Linked DNA regions of Lytechinus pictus. The protein of the gene in region 1 interacts with the protein of each later gene in a pairwise test. Links are inferred from orthologs where the notes say so. Each region holds a gene or a part of one and is shown on either strand. Other genes may lie near its edges.

Region 1 (9,661 bases):
TACCATGTCTAGAATGGAGACTATAGACGCAAGCTTTCTGTCTGTGTCAAACAAAGAGCCAGCCACAGTACATAGTGAATCTAGTCTCACTACTACAGACTCTGCATTATGCACTCTGCGTATTGTGTAAACCAGGGTCTGTGCATACAGACTACATGTATGTTCAGGAGGGTATTTTTAGTCTACAAGTCAGAGCATGGAGTGTACTTGTATAAAGATACCTCCATGGGCAAATTATGTAGGCCTACATTTAGTTTTATATGAAAAGCTAATTTGAAAATAAGGGTATGTTCTTATATATGCTCAAGTAAAGTAGAATTTTGTTGTGATTAGATTAAAAAGACAAAATTAGTAGTCTCCACTGCATCATGTTCAAAATCTATTCACCCCATCATACATACCTCCTATCATATGAAAATTTGTACTACTGACTACCGGTACTGTCCTTCGATAAATCTTCAGCTCACGATCTAGAGATACATGTAGATAAACATAATATTAATAAAGATATAGTGGCCCGTATTCTGAAGTCGGGTTTTACTTAAACTCAGGTTTAAAGTTGTGGTTTAAGTATGGATAGCCAATTGTTACATAAATCACTAACAGTACTAGAGATATCATATTTCAGCTCATTTGGCTCTCAAATCATTCATTATTTTCTAGGAAGTATAAGTAGATGATTGTCTTCACCATTGATGAATCAGGAAAGAGCAAAGTAAACAACAGAAACATACAACTTGATAAAAATGTTGACACTTTTGGCTTCCCATAACTTTAGCACAGAGATAGACCATGGTCTAAGTTAAACCTGACTTCAGAATACGGGCCAGTATGTTTACAGGACAATTATTTGTAACTGTTTAACAACTACTGTAAAGTTCGTATAGCAAATGGCATTGTACAAAAAATTAAAATAACGTTTTTAGAAGAAAATCGAGGCACTAGTCCATTGGATTTGCAGGTAGTCCAGATTGGTCAAGTTGTTTTGAGGAGAGATATCAACTTACCATTGCAGGGAAATGTGAAATGGGATGTGTGTCAGCAATTATTGCCCATTTTTACTTTCATTAAGAAATTACCTGCCATGGACTTGAACTGTTTTTCAGTAGGCCTACTCAATTTTGGTCCGAAGATGCTGGTAGCCTGCAAACTTAAAGAGAATGAACTCTACCCAAATAGAAAAAAAGCAGATTGGTAAAATAAGAACATACATGTACATGTACTTGGACAAGTAAGGAAGCAAGCAAACAAGCGAGAAAAAAGGAACAAAAAAATTGAATTTTTGGAAGTTGTCATCACTACAGTAAAGTGTAGATTTTTTTATAAGAATAGTATAGATTTGACCAAATAGACCTTTATATTAAGGGACCATTTCCAGTTTCCACATTTTGCTTTTGAGTACTACAAAACGATTATAAAAGACATTAAATGTCATATTTTACTCCAATTGATATGAGGTGTGATCTTATGATTATCGCCGGAGAGAAAATGAGCTGTCCCCACAAGTCATTGATGACTTATGATTTACAGCGAAGACGAGAGCTGTCTATGTTTAACTCAATGTCACATTTGAACATCGGTTTCCCATTTCTAGTTTAAATTACATTCACTCAGTAAAGTAAAGTCAAATGTAGACTTATCAATTAATAATTAATTTTGTTTTTTATGACCGAACTGTCTTTTCTTATTTGTCAACACAGATAATGTAGCTTTGATAGGGCATCAGAAAAACTCGACCAAAAAAGTAGTGGATATGTGCCGCGGGCGAGAAAAAAAAAGGGGGCCTTGGAGCGGGCTTATTGTAAAAAGGAGGGTCCTCGGAACGGGCTTCGGAACAACAAATGTTTGTGAAAACGGGGGTCCTTGGAACGGGTCGCCTGCGTGTGATTGTGTATTCATCATCCCTATGGAACGGGCATACGTGCATGCAGCTAGCCCGGCGGCACGGGTGCGCTAGCGCAGATGCGATGGTCGGACAGCGCTTTGCGGCTCATTGTAGCAGATCAATACCGCTGGAACATCGTAACGGAAAATATGCGAAGCTTTGGAGCGGATTTCTTTCTTCTTTTTTCTCGATAAGAAGAAAATACTATGCTTTGGAGCGGCCTTCTGTGTTCTTTTTCTCAATAAGACAAAAATGCTATGCCTTGGAACGGAAATTTGAGTGTAAAAATGGGGGTCCCCTCCGCGGCACATACCCACTATGCATTATATACTGAGTGCCCCCCCCCCCGGGTTTTGCTGTACAATATACTATTCATTGGGCAGTTCTCAAATTATAGAAGGGGCATGACTTCAAAGAGGGCTTGACTTCCTAATTCCCTAACCCAGTGCCCATTATTTCCTAACCTACTGCCAATCCCCTCATCTCTTCAAGGAGACACATATAAAGAATGAAAGAGAAAGAGAAGAAATAAATTGAGAAACAAGAATAGAGTATTGTTAGAGAAAGAATGAAAAAAGACAGAAAGAGACAAATCAGGATTGCTTTGAAGAGAGAAAAAAAATTGTTATTTGTAAAGACACACAAGATGGATGTTTGGAAGGTAATAAATAGCAAAAAGACATGCAGCTACAAACGATAAAAGAAAAGTGAAAATGAGAGAGGGAGAGGGGCTGGTCGAAAGTGTTGTCTTCTCTTCAAGGAGACACATATAAAGAATGTAAGAGAAAAAGACAGAAATAAATTGAGATCGAGGGAAGAATAAGAATAGAGAAAGAATGAAGACAGAGAAATCTCAAGATTGCTTCGAGAGAAAAATGCAAATGCATTATAATTGTAAAATGGATGGGCGGAAAGTAAATAACAGAAAGCGAAGAGATGACACGATCATAGAAAAGTAAAAATGAGAGAGAAAGAGAGGCTGAGAGTGTTGTCATCTATCCAAGGAGACAAAGAATGAAAGAGAAAGAGAAAGAAATAAATTGAGAGAGAGAGGGATGGAGAAAGAATGAAGAATGAGACGAATCAGGACCGCTTCGAGAGAAAAAGAAAAAGCGTTATTTGTAAAGACACAGGTTGGATGGAAGGTAAAAAATAGAAATAAAAAAGACATACAATTATAAACGGTAATAGAAAAGTAAAAATGAGAGAGAAAGAGAGACTGAGAGTGTTGTCATCTACTCAAGGAGACAAAGAATGAAAGAGAAAAAGAAATAAATTGAGAAAGAAGGGTAGAGTAAGAATGAAGACAGAGAAAGAGACAAATCAGGATTGCTTTGAGAGAAAAATGCAAAAGCATTATATTTGTAAAGACAGTTAGGATGGACGGTAAATAACAGAAAGCGAAAAGACATGCAACTACAAACGATAATAGAAAAGTGAAAATGAGAAAGAAAGAGAGACTGAGAGTGTTGTCATCTATTCAAGGAGACACATACAAAGAATGAAAGAGAAAAAGAAAGAAATAAATTAAGAGAGAAGGATATAGAGAAAGAATGAAAGAAAGACGGAAAAAGAGACCAATCAGGATTGCTTCAAGAGGAAAAAATGTTTGTAAAGACATGTAGAACTGATGGGCGGAAGGTAAATAATACAAAGCAAAAAGACATGCAACTAAAAAAAAATAATAGAAAAGTGAAAATGAGAGAGAAAGAGAGACTGAGAGTGTTGTCATCTATTCAAGGAGACAAAGAATGAAAGAGAAAAAGAAAGAAATAAATTGAGAGAGAAGGATATAGAGAAAGAAAGAATGAAAGAAAGACGGAAAAGTGACTAATCAGGATTGCTTCAAGAGAGAGAAAAATATTTGTAAAGACATACAGAACTGATGGGCGCAAGGTAAATAACAGAAAGCAAAAAGACATACAACTACAAACGTTAATAGAAAAGTGAAAATGAGAGAGAGAGAGAGAGAGACTGGGAGTGTCGGGATGAATCATATGTGTATGATTGACGTTTCCATTGTTTGGTTTATTGTTTGCACATACCAGCAACTAAAGGCGTCTTTGTGCACTTTTTATGACCCATACACCCAGTCAATGTCACAGAGTGTGGAGTGTGGTTCAAGGCTTGAGGCATATTTGGGGAATATCAATTGAAAACAAACCTTTTCTAGTCAAGTACAGTTTTAGTATTCAAAGTCAGGGGATAATTTATAATCATGCCTAATAATAGAGTGTGTAAACTCTTGCTTGCATGCTCCGGGTATGCTCCCCTGGGTGCGGAGAAAGTGTACATGTATACAGTGTGTGCAAGCTTACAGAATCTGTTAGTGACGACATGTAGAAAACAGAAACTTTCTAGATTAGTCTGAGTACATGCACAGTAAGGGAATATGGTAATATGTACGTGGGGGAAGGTTTACGGTTCACCATGTGTAATATGAAGAAGGGAAAGGAAATACAGGCAGAAAGATTGAAATGGAAAGACCAGAAAGGATGAAAAGAGGAAATTAGAGGTAGTCTTTTCTTGAAAGTGAGTGAAGTCCTGAAAAAGGACTGTAAACCAGATGAGATGAGCTGAATATGGCTTGAGTAGCGATGATTTGAGTAGTAGCAGGTTGAAGTAAGAGAGGTTACTCAACGTTTTGGCAGGTTGACTGTCCATCTTTAGAAGTGGTAATAAGCCAGAGTGGTAATATGCTTATTCAAAACTCTTGACTAAATCCTCCTATGGAGTGTAGAAAGTGCATTTATTGTGTGCGGGCTTGTGAAAATCCGATGAGATCATAATCGATCTCAATTTGTTTCTGTGTCTCTTGGAATGATTAGTTCAAACATCGACAACTGATTTTGTCATGTATATCTGTAGGTAATTGGTGAAAATATCGGTAAATTGCCAATTCGTCCACTGCCAACTTGTCCACTCACCACATGGTCTACCTTCATTTAGTCTAATGCCATGCCGTCCATCAACATTTTGTCTAACAACCATTTGGTGGACAATAATCACTTTGTCTAATCACCAGTTCGTCTATTACCATTTCGTTTAATAACCAGTTGGTCTAATACCCATTTTCTTTTCCTTCATTTTGCACAATTAACACTTTAGTTTAATTAGACCAAATGGTATCTGGACTAAATGGCTATTGGACCAACTGGTTATTAGACAGAATGGCATTAGACTAAATGAAAGTAGACCATGTGGTGAGTGGACGAACTGATGGTAGACAAAGTGATAGTTGACGAGTTGGCAATTGGACGAATTGGCATTAGACGAAATGTTTAGTTTGAGAAATTTATTTTGTACTTAAAGCATACTAATATAGTTGCTGCACTATGCAAATTGATCTTATTAAAATTATTATTTCATTTATTATTTTTAGGCCAGTGCAACCTGACCAATCAGGATGCAGCAGTCTAGCGGCGAAGAGTCGGAGAGTAAGCATCGTCCTGCCGGGACTAGGACAGTACCTGCTAGCATCCTCAAGGCAGGAACGGAATCAGTTGGGAACCTTACTCCCGAAGAAGCAGAAGAATTACAGGTCCAGTTAGAGAAAGATAAGCGAGCAGTATATCAGTGAGTACTCTCTATATATAGCTTAATGGCCTCCAATATTGCTTAAAAAACCATAATTATTACTAATATAATACCAGAGTATACTTCACTTTAAAGTCTGTCTCAACCAGTACGGGTCACTGATGGACAATTCCATGAAATATGCACGTCTGACCCCATGTATGTGAGACATTCATGAAATTTTCTGTCTCTGATTTCTGGTTCTTTTGACAGTCTTCAATGCTGTCAAATGATCATGAGTTGGTCAGTTTATGAAGTAAATGGGAGTTGCATGTACAAAAAGGTTGATTATTTTACAGAATTGCTCTGATGTGAAGTCTGTAGCTCGAGTATCTTCTAACATTCAAATTGTTAAAAAATGTAGAGGTCATTGATGGTTTTTCAGCTGTAAGAATTCAATTCCAGTACCATCTACCATTCATGTTTTTATTGTTTATTAAAAAAATAGGTGTTAGAGATTTTCAAGTTCTTACTTGACTAATTTGTTGATTGAATGTCAGAAAGCTACAGACAAAGATTATATCTTGAAATTTTCAGCACATTCCATGCTTGAGAAATGAGAAGGTTTCATATAAGCAAGATAAAAAATGTGCGGATAGTTTACTTTGATGGGCACCTGATCAACGTAATTTTTTATGTAAAATTGTTAAATTTATCAGATTTAACACATTTTCATTTTTGCCTCACTCGCATCATAATAATGCTAATGATGATAATAATGTAGGATATATAAAGCACATGTATCACCTTGTTACATGTAGGTGCTCAAGGCGCTCCTATTTTAAGGCACACACAGCTCGCTCCACCTTTAACAAAGGCATTATATTTTTTTTATCTCTAGACACCCTCTGTTCCCACTCATGGCGTTATTATTTGAGAAGTGTGAACAGGCCACCCAGTCACCTGACCCACCGACGTCGGCGAGCTTTGATGTCGACATCGAGGAGTTTGTCAACAGGCTGAAGAGAGAGGGCAGCACATTCTTTATTGAAGACACAGAAATTGATACATTAGTGAGTATAGTTGTTGAAGTGAATCAATCAGCCATTATTGAACCGGGTTGTACAGAACCAGTGGTAGATCCTGTCGGGTGGGATACAATACCATATCGTGGGTCATATTGTTTGTGTATAATGGTGGGCCCATCCAAAGTATTGTGTGTAATCCGACTAGATCCACCCATGGACATGAGCCATGGACCCGTATTCTGAAGTCGGGTTTAAGTTAAACTCAGGTTTAAAATTGTGGTTTAAGTATAGATGGCCAATTGTTACATAAATCACTAACAGTAGAGATATCATATTTCAGCTCATTTGGCTCTTAAATCATTCATAATTATCTAGGAAGTATAAATAGATGATTGTTTTCACCATCGATGAAGCAGGAAAGAGCAGAGTAAACATAAGATACGTACAACTTAATAAAAATGTTGATACTTTTGGCTTCCTATACTTAAGCCACAACTTTAAACCTGAGTTTAAGTTAAACCCGACTTCAGAATACGGGCCATTGTAATTAATGATAAAGGAGAATTTTTATGCCAAAAGAAAACATTTTCAGCATTTTCCGGATGTTGATGTATTCATGATGTAAGTGTGGTTAATTAGGAATGAAATTGAGATGCTGAACCACTTTCATATAGTGCTGGGCGATATTTCAACGTCAAAATTATGCGATATTGAAAAATACTAAATATTCAATTTATTATTTTCTTTATGAGGGTGTTCCTATATGTTTGGAGATAATGCATCTTGCAGATTACTCTATAATTATCAGATTCAGAGTAATTTGCAAGTTTGTTGAGTTCAACTAACCAACTTCTGTCTTTATTGTGGCACTCTACAGCATGCTTACAAGTATAGAAGTAAAGGATCACAGTGAGTGCTAACAATTTGTATCAATGTTATTTCTTATATCTTCCAGATGATCAAAGCAATCCAAGTACTAAGAATACACCTGCTAGAGCTGGAGAAGGTTAATGAACTTTGTAAAGACTTCTGTCATAGATATATAACTTGTTTGAAGAGCAAGATGCATAGTGAGAATTTATTGAGAGATGAACGGTAAGTTTTAACAAAGGGATAGATTAACTTTGTCAAAAGAAGAGACATTTGCCTCTGACTTCATGAGAAGTTTACAGGTGCCTTTATTTTGAAGACCAGCTTAAGTTAGACTACTGTCTAACGCTGTGTTTGAATTATGGAAAGCTTGAAATGTCAAATGTTTGTGTAAATTGTTTGTTTTCTAATGTTTACTCTGCTCTTTCTTGTGGATTTAATGGTGGAGAAAACAATTTTTTTTAATTATTTCCTGACAGTGATGAATGAATTGAGTGTCAAGTGAGCAGATAAATTGAACTATGATAAAAGTATAATAATAACGGTATATTTCCTAAGGGTAGCCACTTCAGTTCAGAAAACTGTTCTCTCAGCAGGCCCTGCTATTATTATTACCCAGCTAAGCTAGGCTACCGATTAATGTGCACACAGCTTTTTGAGGAATTATTTCCTGCTGGTACCCATTTACCTCACCTGGGTTGAGTGCAGCACAGTGTGGATAAATTTCTTGCTGAAGGAAAACACGTCACGGCCAGGATTCGAACCTACGACCCTCTAGACCACGACACGCCCACTTATACTTGTACTGTTACAGATATTTGTTGTAGATGGCTGTCCATAATTAAACCATAACTTAGATCCGAGTTCAGAATAAGGGTCAATGTATTTACCTAGTGTGTAATTAACCATACCTGAAAGCCCAATGTTGCAAGAAACGTGCATTCAATTCCAAATCAAACATTAGTCCCAAAATCAAAAGTCTTTTGATGGGTCTTTATTGATGTAACTTGTTTTGTTTCAATTGGAAATACATGTATTCTCTATGTACATCAGTGAAATAATAACATGTTCCACCTTTTATACTATATTAAATAAATAAAAGATTGAAATTTTCAAATGGCTTATTTGCCTATAACTATTCACAAAATTCTACATATTTGTGAATAATTTTCATGAAATTCCTTTGTGTTTCTCTTTTAATGTCACTGTATTTATTTCAATCAACTTGAATTTAGCATGCACGACCCCACTTAAGTCAGAGCTTGACTAGGTACATGTAATTCCTGTTTAATATCTTGTTAAAGATACTTGTAACCGCTGAATATTTCTTTTCTTTTTGATGTTTTTAGAGGAGAAGCCACTCAATTTGATAGTCAGTACTTATCCAACGGAGATCTCTTAGATCTAGAACCACCGCCCACGGAACATAATCAGGTATGTGTTCTTAAGAGACATTTCTTATCCCTAATGGATTAAAGGGGGATGGGGGGGGGGACTGGGAGGGGAGAGTGGAGTCAGACTCCCTCTTAGATCTAGAACCACCGCCCACGGAACATAATCAGGTATGTGTTCTTAAGAGACATTTCTTATCTCTAATGGATAAAAGAGGGAGGGGAGAGTGGAGTCAGACTCCCTCTTAGATCTAGAACCACCGCCCACGGAACATAATCAGGTATGTGTTCTTAAGAGACATTTCTTATTCTAAATGGATTAAAGGGGGAGGGGAGAGTTGAATCAAGACTCCCTCTTAGATCTAGAACCACCTCCCACGGACATAATCAGGTATGTGTTCTTTAGAAACATTCCTTATCCCTAAAACAGTGTGATGAATGCGCGAGCTGTTGTCATACTACTACGTGTTCTTATTTGAATAATTAACATATGTCTCATGATTCCTGTAAGATTTGAAGTTATTGTGTTAGTAGATTATTGTATAGGACCTATATGAATTGTCAATAGTTTCTAAGTAGTACATCACAAGTTAGGACTATTTGAATTTACACACATACATGTATCGACTCTGTATTTGAATTATATGTTTTCTGATTATTTCTATATTCTTATGTTCAATTAATTGTAATGATGTTTTCACTTTCGTATTCTTTCTTGTTCTTTGCCTAGATATCTTGTATATTCTTATTTTCTTTGCTTATAGCGGTTTGAAACTGCTGTATAAAAAAATGTGTATATTATGATTATTAGTATTATTAGTGACGCTGTGCATAGCTTATATGTTAATTGATTATTACATCCATTATATGGATTACCATTTTTCCAATTGCCTTTTTCTGTTGCGATACATCTTTTATTTTCTTCCTTTTTCCCTTTTCTTCATATTGTTTTTAGATCCAGAACCATCCCA
Region 2 (10,646 bases), on another chromosome or scaffold:
ATGCCGTCGTATAGAATTCATGAGGTGTCTTTTTTGACCGCGCAAGTTAAGACATTAAAATGTAGAACTTTGATCAATAATTTCCGGGTTGAGCCCCTTTTGAGGGAGGATCTCTAGTTTGAATAACGAAATGAGAGCCCCGCGTCTTAAGTTCAGATAAAACTATAGATTATTAATGATCAAAGTTTGAATTCAAAATCGGATTAAATTAAAAAGATTTTACATGTGCTGTGTAAGAGGCACTATAAATCCGATTTATGGGTCATTAAGAAAATAAATGGGAAAGGGGGGTATTACACCATTTCTGAAACATGTTCAAAAGGTATATGTGCAGATTTTATCCAGAAATATTAATCCTATTCATTGCTTGAGAGATGTGGGTTATAAATTGACCAAGTATAGAAGAAATACTTCATTTAAGCTTGTACCCCACCTTTTTATTTCAATCCTATAATATCAAATTTTATCCATAAATATTAGATTGTAATTTGCATCTATTTCATGATGCGAGTCTCGGGACATGATTTTTAATTTCAGCCAACAATAAATCCTAGCTTTGAAAATAAATCATTAGATTTACCAACCTTAACCTTTTCAAAGTTCCATTGCCATTGTTTCTTGCTCGTATGCAGACTAAAAACTCTAATTGACCAAACTTTGGACAAATTAGTCAAGATATAAGTTATCCATGGTATTTACCATTAATCAAATTTAAAGAGAGAGGGAAAGGGGGAGAAGGGGAGAAACAAAATGACCGAAGAAAAGAGGTCCCAATACAAACCCCTGTGGAGGGTCAATGTGCCTGAGGGCATAGTTAACCTCATTGGCCAGGAGTTTTCTTGATTGGAACCAGATAAGCATTCTTGCTGATATGATGTCATAGAATGGGGCTGCAATGAAAGAATCTCTTTGAATTTGTGAAGTGACATAATGAAATGGCTTTGAATGAAATGATTGAAGGGGTGATATTCAGGTATTGTATGGATAGGGTTAAGGGTGTGGATGGGGCAGGTGAAAGGGGGCCTTTGGGATTGAAAGAAGGTCAACCTGAATGTTTCTTCAACTTTCCTTATATTAGGTATAAAACATGGATATGAAATAGTATGTCACAGGAGTTATACCAACTAAATTACAAGTTTGCACTTCCTCCAAAGGACCCTAATTACCAAGAGTCTGAGTTTTGGAGTTGACAATATAGTATGTTTATGACTATGCAGGATTGAAAATAAGGGGGTATAAGAGTTACATTTGCAGAAAACTTTAGTAGTTCATACTTCAAACCAAAATGACAGAAAATAGGGGGATGGGGAGGAGAAGCGAATGGGTGCTCTATAGACAGTGTATATGATTGTGGGGGAGGGGTAATTCATGTCATTGTTTGGAATACCAAGGAGGTCATTGGGGGAGAGATTTGGGTTTGCCAAGGTCATCAAAGGATTTAGCAATCCCATGTTTGAGGGCAGGAATGATGATTGACACGGACCTGAGGTCTCTCATTCAAATCTACAATTACTCTGCTGTTAGAATGCTTCCTACCCTACTAGATCTGAAAATGCCCCTCGATTACTTGAAATTGCTCAGGTCTCGCACCCTTGAAAGCTTTATCTAGTTTATTTGTAATCTGCCTTTTTATTTCTTGTATGTTTCTTGTTTTAATCTTGTAAATCCTTTGTAAATATTGTAATTTTTGATGATGTATTTTAATAAAAACTTAGATATATATATATATATATATATATATATATATATCTACATCTGCAGTTAAGGCGAATTTTTTTGTCTTTCAATGTTAGCAATGCGCCTTAACGCCCTCTACCTTCGAATTAACGTCTAAATGTGTATTATGACGGAATAAACCCATTCATAGACTTCGCCCTTACATAGGATGTATGCATATATATATAAATATATATATATATATATATATATATAAAGAACTTGCTCAGGTCTCAAAATATCTCACAATTAATTTTGTTCATTTAACACCAACCTGAACCAGAGAAAGCTCCTGTAGTTAAGCAAGAAATGCAACTTGTACTCCATACAATAATAATGTGCATTGTTCTGGCCTGACATTGAAAGTTATGGCAATTTTCCTTCACATTGCCATGATCGCAAAATCGCTAAACAATTCAGATAAATTTGAAAAGTACCTTATAACTTGCAGGTGTTTTCTATTCCGAATAGTACAAGCACTTTACTCTCACACCTGCAAATACCAGATAAGCTGTTTTCTGATCATCTGGGTGCAATACCTTATGAGAAAATACTAGATATTTTTTTGTGATTCAGGGGGTGTGAAAACATATCTTTATCGGACAATCTCAATGCATTGTGGGGATATACCATTACAATCAATGAATTATTTCTGAAAAGCCACAGTTGACGGGGGTTCTTCTATATTTGAATGTTTCATTTTCAATATTCATGCATGGTCAAAAGATTTTGAAAATGATTTCAGACCCAATCAACCTTACATAGAAGTACGAACTGGCCATAAAGACTGAATTTTCTGATTGGTTTCCCTTGAACATATTCTAAAACATAGTAAAAAAAGTCACCTGTTTATAAAGATCACTTGTTTCACTTTCTTTGTTGTCTGTAAAGACCGACTCTCTTGGGTTGTCTTTATCAATCACTTTGGCTGTATTACATTTTGAAGAATTAAAGTGATTGGTTAACATTGGTTTGACTTTTAAAAAATCTGAGCTAGAAGGTCACACTTGTCACCTGTGTCTGTGATATGTTACAAAAAATGAAGCCCAGAAAAAATTGCGTTCGAAAATAATTATTTAGTGCTTCAAAAATTGAAATATAAAGTGACCGAAAACACCATCTTAATTTCATCCCATACACTTATGTGTACTATTTAGGCGTCTATAAGACGCCTATTTACAAAATCGGGGTTTGCCTTGTAGTTTTAGCTTTTCATTCTCAATAATGGTTGTTTTCAGGGTTTATTAGTTCTAATACATGCACTTGTACACATGTTTCATCTTGGTTTGAGAATTTTTTTAAATCGGCTGCTCACAAAGTTAAACAATACCTTTAACTAAAAATGTGTAGGCCCTGACTTATTAAAAATAGTATTTATAAAATTACAGCAGGTTTGTACGAGTGAAACTGTAAAAAGATGGTGATTAGTTATTACAGATCTTCAGGGTTCTTGGTGGCTTCGTGCTGCCTGATTGGCTGTGTTGGGTTTGGAGGCATCCAGGGTTTTGGGTGTTGGAGGATAGCCCTCGTCAGCTGCGTGTATTCCTCTCTCATTAGCTCCTTGCTTCATCTCGGGGTTATTGGAGCGTATATAGACGAATCCCAACGCTCCTTCCTCGTCTTCTCCTCTTCTCTTGTCTTATGTTTCCTCCGGTAATTGACTATTTTTTTTGTACTTAATTTATGTGGTCTTTATTTTCTCTTAGTTTTACTCTAGTTCTCATCAAAGTACTTTATTTTGTATCTTCCATCTCCGACATATTGGATGATATCTTCCTGCTTTTTCTTCCCCATTTATTTTTGGTGCTGTTGTAATGTTCCATATTTTGTATTACATATGTAAGAATGATATTCATTTTCTATCAATAGTAATAATAAATACTCATTAACACTATCATTATCACCACCACTACCACCATCATCATTATCACCACCACCATCGTCATCATCATCGTCATCACCATCGTCATCACCATCATCATCACCACCACCATTACCACCATCATCATTATCACTATCATTGTCATCACCACCATCACTACCACCACAATCATCATCATCACCATCACCCTTAATCGCCATCAATAATCTTTGTCATCATTTTCATCCTCATCTCTATTTCTCATGCAAATACTCCCCATACTGTTGTTTCATTTGAACTTATTTGGGTTATCCCTCTCCTATCACAAGAGGGGGCTATGACTTTAATAATGCCTAAGTATGATGTAGCGTGATACCCACAAACACACCAGCAAAGTGCAGATGTGTGGATCCTGACATTCACTCCTTCCTCAATCATATGTAAGAATGATTTTGTATTCAAAATGATGTTTTGTCAGAAATGAGATTAAACATATGAATTTACTATTGGCATTAATATTAAAGTCTCATAGTTTGACAGTAGTTAAAGCCTATAATGGCACATTAGATTTTGTTACTTACAAAGCACTGAATTGTCAAGTTCGTGGTTACTCGACTAAATTAAAATCATTCAAATTACATCAATATAAAAATCAAAGAGTACACTATGGAAAGCTGCTTCTAACACAGCTACAAATTAAAGCAAAAGTTACTTTGCTTTATAGTTGTACAGCTCCAACTTTTGAATAAACTGTTCGAGTATTAAATAAAACGTGTTTTTTTCTTACACTCTTCAAATGTTTTTTTAGGTCATTTCAAATGCTTTTGAAAAGAGTGGATTTTGAAAAATAAATCTCTCTAAAATGCATATATGGCAGATAGCCAGCTACCTATATTGTCATGAATACAGAAGTAAATTCTACATGATTAATTGATAGTGGTTTTAATGTTGCATTTGAAGTGAGGCTCTTGTGGTTTTTTTTTACTTCTTGTTTTTATGTTGGTAGCTAAAAACGAGGAAATAGATACTTATATCGCCTGTAAGCATCATAAGGGTACGCATATACAAATTTATAGCATACCATAGAGTATATCTTGATAAACTAATATAAAATATTTCATAGTTATCTGTCATTTTCCCCACCTAACTAGACCTTCACATGTCACAACTATAATCTCCTTATGAATATCAAAATTTTCTTTAAACAGAAAGTTTTTTAAAAAATGAAGTCATCCCATCAGACAATTTGGAGATGATTTTTGACAAGTCACAAATCCCTCTTGATATTCTTAGGGGGTTTTACTTGATTGCTGTTCATTTTTTCTGTCGATTTAGTTGAATTTTACCCCCTGCGCGAGATGGATCTTCTCCAGATTTGTGATGGCTGCATTGATGACCCTTAAGGCTACACTTGATTAAGCAGGCTTCGTCGAGATGTATATGTGTCAGCTTCGCCAGTTAAGAAGACGGGTTTGGAGTCATATTAATGAAATTTGCTGTTTGCTTTCTAATTCCACTCTCTCTACGAGTTTTTTAAGGGTATTACTATTTTTTTCGTCCATGAAGGTTTTGAATATATTTCAGAGGATGTACACTACAAATGAGGCGGAGAGAAGGAATTAGTTAAAAAATAGAGCAACGGGAGTGTGACAAAGAGAAGGAGAGTGAAAATAAGGAAGAAGTGTGGGTAAACTTAAGGGGAAATAATAGAGACAGGGAGAAAGAATGGGGGACTGGGAAAGAAATAAAGAGAGGAGAGGCAGAGAAAAAAAGATAGAGAAAATGAGAGAAATTACGCAGATGTAGGTGATTTCTTGTAAGGAGTGAAGTCATTATTTCCATACTGAATTTTCCAGACTGCTTCTTTTTCTCATATCTAACTACCTACGTGACCCCTCCTCATCAATACAGCTTCTGAAACCGATGCATGTTACTACTGTCGATTGTTGAATTCTGTTAAGAGAATGGGCAACGCTCTCCCGGGCTCTTATGATGGATGAAACTCAACTAGTTTTGATGTAAAACCCATACCTTGTGGCGATGATTCAATTAAACTCGCCCCCCTTTTTCTCCATGGATACCTTTTTTATGGAAAAGTAGGGCATTGACCCTTCTCTTACTGATACCCCTCGTACTCTATGGAGGGAGGGAAAGGGACTTTTCGAGCCCCTGCCACTATCAATTAAACCCTCAATCGTTATACCAACCATTTGTGGACTCTTTCAATTTTCTCCCGTTCTCTCTCTCATTCTCTCTTGTTCTCTCTTCATCTCTCTCCACATCTCTCCATACCTCTTCCCATCGCCTCCCTTACCCCCTTCTCGCTCACTTCTTAAAATATTCAAATTCAGTTACTTCTGGATGATATTTTTTTTCTTCAATCAGTCCCCCGAAGCCCAGGAAACTGCTTTCACGATAACTTTCAAAACGCCGGGTTTATTCTCCGACGAGACGTGACGCCAATGTCTCACGTTCATGTTCTACGGGATCCCTCTTCTCCTTTCTCTCCCTGTCACTAATTTGTTCGAGTTTCTTTTATTGCTTGGCTCTGCTTCTTGAGGGAATGTATTATATATTGGATAAAGATTTGCCTTGATGAGTCGTGATCCATCATGTTGCACCAAACTACGACGATGCGGCTAGGCTCTTCCACCATGCCCCTGCATAATTTAATCTTTTATTTTTACTTCACCATCTCTTTAGTTTCCCTCGTTCTTTTTCCTTTCCATTTTTTTCTCGTCAAGTTTGGTTAATTTGGCCAGCTTATTCAAACTTACTTTGCCAGATGTCCTGTTAGTTCTGTCTTTCTTGAAAAAAAAAATTGATTGGATCATGTAATATGCCATAAAAATAGATTTTTGTATGAACTGAAAAGAGTAAAAGACTGATAATCACTTATATTCGTATCCATAGGCATCACTTGACCAAGAAAAGCCAAACTCACGAATATGATATAACTTTCTTCAAAATATTGGTCAGCATGGTGTTATGTCTAGATAATAACATCTTGTGAATACATACATTTGATATTGTAAAATTGCAGCTGAATATATTGTTAAATATAATATTTATTTTTTTGTCTTCTTTATAGTTCTGAGTATTCGCGGAGCTCAAGAAGAAGAGCCGCCCGATCCACAGTTGATGCGGTTGGACAATATGCTGATAGCAGAGGGCGTGGCAGGGCCAGAGAAGGGCGGAGGATCGGCGGCGGCGGCAGCAGCAGCAGCAGCGTCGGGCGGAGGACTAGGCCAACCGGAGAATGCTATCGAACATTCAGATTACAGGGCGAAGCTGGCTCAGATCAGGCAAATCTACCATACGGAACTTGAAAAATACGAGCAGGTGAGAAATCATGAAGAGCAGCTAGTCTCTTCTCCAGGGACCAGTCTTGCTCCAAGTTATGATCGATCTAATCATTCCCACTTATGGCGAGCCATTGGCATCATAATCGACAATGTATATGCAACTGTCCAATTGGAAACAAAGTGCATGCTTGGAGGACAAAATATGCACGCATATGTTTCTCATAATTACAGAAGAAATAATTTGAACGAACATATGCATTTCAGATGATGGTATCACTGGCTTGCCATAGTCGAGATTGATTAATTGATTGATTGATTGATTGAATTTGATTTATTGATTGAATCAATCAATTGCAAATCATAAGGATGGAATAGGCAAGGGGACAAGATATTAAAAGTTGAAATGCAGGTTACTCCATGATTTAGCTCAGCAAACAATGATTTTTAGACAAGTAACTGTCAATGACACAATAATAGAGGTAATGGGAAAAATTGTATTGAAAGTTTGGATATCTATATGTACATATTTTACTATCTGTTTGGTTGTGAAACTTGTGATTTTACAGGTCAGGTACCTGTTGCAGAGAGAATTGCAAAAATTCTCCAAAAATTGAACACAACTTCATTTCCCAACAATTAAGAGTGCCACGTGGGACCTGGGCATGAATTTTAGAGTTGCAACTCGTGACTCTTCACCGGAATCTTGCGCAATATTCAAAATTTCAATCGTATCCGACATTGTGGGTCTTTGACCGTTCTCGCAAGAACCTTATTCAACATTTATCATACCAACTTATGCCCTCCTCTTCTGACTCCCAAGCAGGCATGTAATGAGTTCACAACGCACGTCATGAACCTGCTCCGAGAACAGAGCAGGACGCGACCCATCGCCCCCAAGGAGATCGAGCGCATGGTCAGCATCATCCACCGCAAGTTCAACGCCATCCAGGTCCAGCTGAAGCAGAGCACCTGCGAAGCTGTCATGATTCTACGCTCAAGGTTCCTGGATGCCAGGTAAGATCATCGTTATGCCTCTCACAACATCCGATCACCGCATGATTGGCAAAAGGGTCTGCGGCTGGCGTAACCTTGCTGGAAAGAACGCAGTGTTACACAGTGGGACCGTGCACAGCGTGTTCACATTGTGGACTATGCGAATATGTGATTCACACTGTTGAAATGCTCAAATTTAACAGTGTGAAGGTGTTTTCACATTGTGTTCCACACTGAACCCACTGTGGGACACTGTACTTTCCAGTAGGGAAGGACTGTAGCCCAAGTATAAAAATGAACAATGTGTTCAAGAGTTAACATCCTTCTTCGTGACCGAAAGGATTGGTAATCGACGTGCATAAATCTTTATGCCCTTAGTCCAGTCAGGAAATGAGATGATAATGGCCCTTTTTTCACACAAAATGATAAAACCTGAAGCATATTAGATATTTAGGTTTATGGCTTTGAAAATCTGCATGGAAGTTTTAATGTCCTCTGGGTTAACCATCTTTTATAATATTGTGCATCAGTTGGAAAAGATTAAAGGATATTTCCAGAGGTTGTGAAGCTGTCTAGCCTTACGTTCCGGTGATGCAAGGAATAATCATCCCCAAGGTTCCCCAGTCTCAGAAATTCAGTTGTCACTTTACTGAAAGTCGATTGGTGTTGGATACGTCTGGAGCAGCAGTGGCGGAGGAAAGTTTGGCTCTGACAAACAGTTTGGGGTGGAGTAGTTGTTTACACAAAATGATTGGTCCTCCTATGCTAAGTCTGATCAGAACGTTCCAGTGCCACTGATGGTGTTGTCCAGAGAGGACCTTGATAGATGGAACCTATCTTTCTCTAAGCTAGCGTAGAGGGACCGACTCCCAAATTCTCTAATTCGTCAGTGCCAATCCCCTCGACTCCCTCCAAATCAACTGTAGGGAATTTGAGAGTCAGTATAGCTTTGGAAAAGATATTTTCCCTCAATCAATGTCCACTCTGGACTCTGGAGGTGGCGGAACAAGTCGGCGTCGTCGATGAATAAAACCATGGTTCTTGGACATCTGGTAAGACCACCTTCAAGATATCCTACCCCATGGCTTGGACACATACCAACGAAACTGACTTCAAACTGATCAATGATCTGTGAGAACAAGATATATTTTTTGTAGTCTGAAGTCGGTTTCACCGCTGTGACTCTGGCATAAAGATTCAGTGTTGAAGATGACAGTATGTCACAAGATTCACTTGGTCCAAGGAGGAAAGAACCGGTCTCTGGGTTTAGAGTAGCAAGGTAAGATTGTGTAGAAGATCTCCTTTAATTTCTTCAATGATCAGAATGGCCAAGGGGTCAGATGATGGAGACGCAGTTGGTAAGTAGAATGAAGTGTTTTCGTCCAGAGAATTATTAAAGCCAAAAACAGAATTCCTGAGCAGCAGCATGCGTAGTCATCAGTGATTGAAGCGCACATCATATCTGCAGTTGGCTCTACGTGTAGTGCCCCTACATTTATTTACTTTGTGCAATCAAATGAATTATATTGTTACATCACCTGTGAAACCATGCAACATTTTGGACAGGAAGTGTGCAACAGTACAAATTCTCACTTTCAGTCTCCTATTTGCTTGCATACAAAAAAGTAGTCGTTGTGCAATATTTGAATGGCATATCATCATACAGTCAGTTTGGAGATAGTTCTGTTGATGTGACAGCAGCATTTGGTTTGGTTTATATCTTGACTTTTCATTGTAATTTCTTCCTGTATTTGTCTTTATAGGAGAAAACGAAGGAACTTCAGCAAGCAAGCAACAGAGATCCTCAACGAATACTTCTACTCCCATCTTAGCAACCCCTACCCAAGTGAAGAAGCGAAAGAAGAACTAGCAAGGAAGTGCGCCATCACGGTAGCACAGGTATGGACTGTGGGGATCTCTGTATGTGTGGGTTTTGTGTGTTTTTGTATGATAAAACACTATCTAACCGGGGATGTTTGGTTAAACATGGACGGGTCTCTTTTTTTGTAGTCTCTCAATGGGCTGTAAATTTAAAGTAGGTGGCACTAAAATGTAAAATACTCTGAACAATGGGACAAACTTTGCATACGTCCTTAACATCACTGGTGTCATACACACAAACGTCCTCGGTGGCATGTTGTATGCAAGAGTTTCAACCATCCATAGCTGACGATATAATAATATAATATTGTGTGTGTATGCGTATGCCGGGGGGGGGGGGTAGGGGTGAGGGGGTTTACAAATCAGTATCACCCAGATATACATGTATAATTCTCATTTTGGGACTGACTTTGAACAACGGTTCACACAATCAAGTGTGTAACTTCCTAGTGCTGCTGTGGACACATAAATGTCAAGTTTGTAATGGTTTATATTCTGGTATGATTTTTTGTGTGTGCAAGTGTGAATGACCAATTTGTTTCATAACATTTGAAATCATTTTCAACCAAATTATCTATTTAAATTCAAAGTTCAAGGTTACTCTGCACAAGTGAAAAATATTTAGCCTAATAATCAGCATTATGTAGGGTCTCACAAACTTAATGGTGTGAAAAATATCCTGGACAAGATCAAAAGATGACTACATGTAGGTCTGCTTATATGCCTGTACTCCTTATTTTCCTATAGTTCCCAACCTACCCATTCACTATATGATTCATAGGAGCTTTAAAACAATTAAGGTCATCATTTGCATTTGTTTTATCTCCAGGTTTCCAATTGGTTTGGTAACAAGAGGATCCGCTACAAGAAGAACATCGGCAAGGCCCAAG

What was found.
Region 2: the proteins of homeobox protein PKNOX1-like (region 1) and pre-B-cell leukemia transcription factor 1-like interact in binary tests that used the Caenorhabditis elegans proteins (3 or more experiments, as listed by UniProt). The link is inferred for Lytechinus pictus from reciprocal best matches to the Caenorhabditis elegans genes unc-62 and ceh-20.

The regions. Positions count from the first base shown.
Region 1 is NC_087252.1:19,664,082-19,673,742, reverse strand, and holds the start of homeobox protein PKNOX1-like, read left to right. Parts: upstream 1-5,266; 5' UTR 5,267-5,291; coding exon 5,292-5,461; intron 5,462-6,302; coding exon 6,303-6,474; intron 6,475-7,384; coding exon 7,385-7,524; intron 7,525-8,648; coding exon 8,649-8,733; intron 8,734-9,645; coding exon 9,646-9,661. UniProt on the Caenorhabditis elegans protein: Acts redundantly with ceh-20 and ceh-40 to perform overlapping roles during embryogenesis.
Region 2 is NC_087259.1:8,799,473-8,810,118, forward strand, and holds the start of pre-B-cell leukemia transcription factor 1-like, read left to right. Parts: upstream 1-6,669; 5' UTR 6,670-6,718; coding exon 6,719-6,919; intron 6,920-7,702; coding exon 7,703-7,896; intron 7,897-9,638; coding exon 9,639-9,774; intron 9,775-10,585; coding exon 10,586-10,646. UniProt on the Caenorhabditis elegans protein: Transcription factor that binds to the 5'-TGATNNAT(G/T)(G/A)-3' PBC/Hox lineage enhancer region of sem-2 to promote cell fate specification in the postembryonic mesoderm (also known as the M lineage).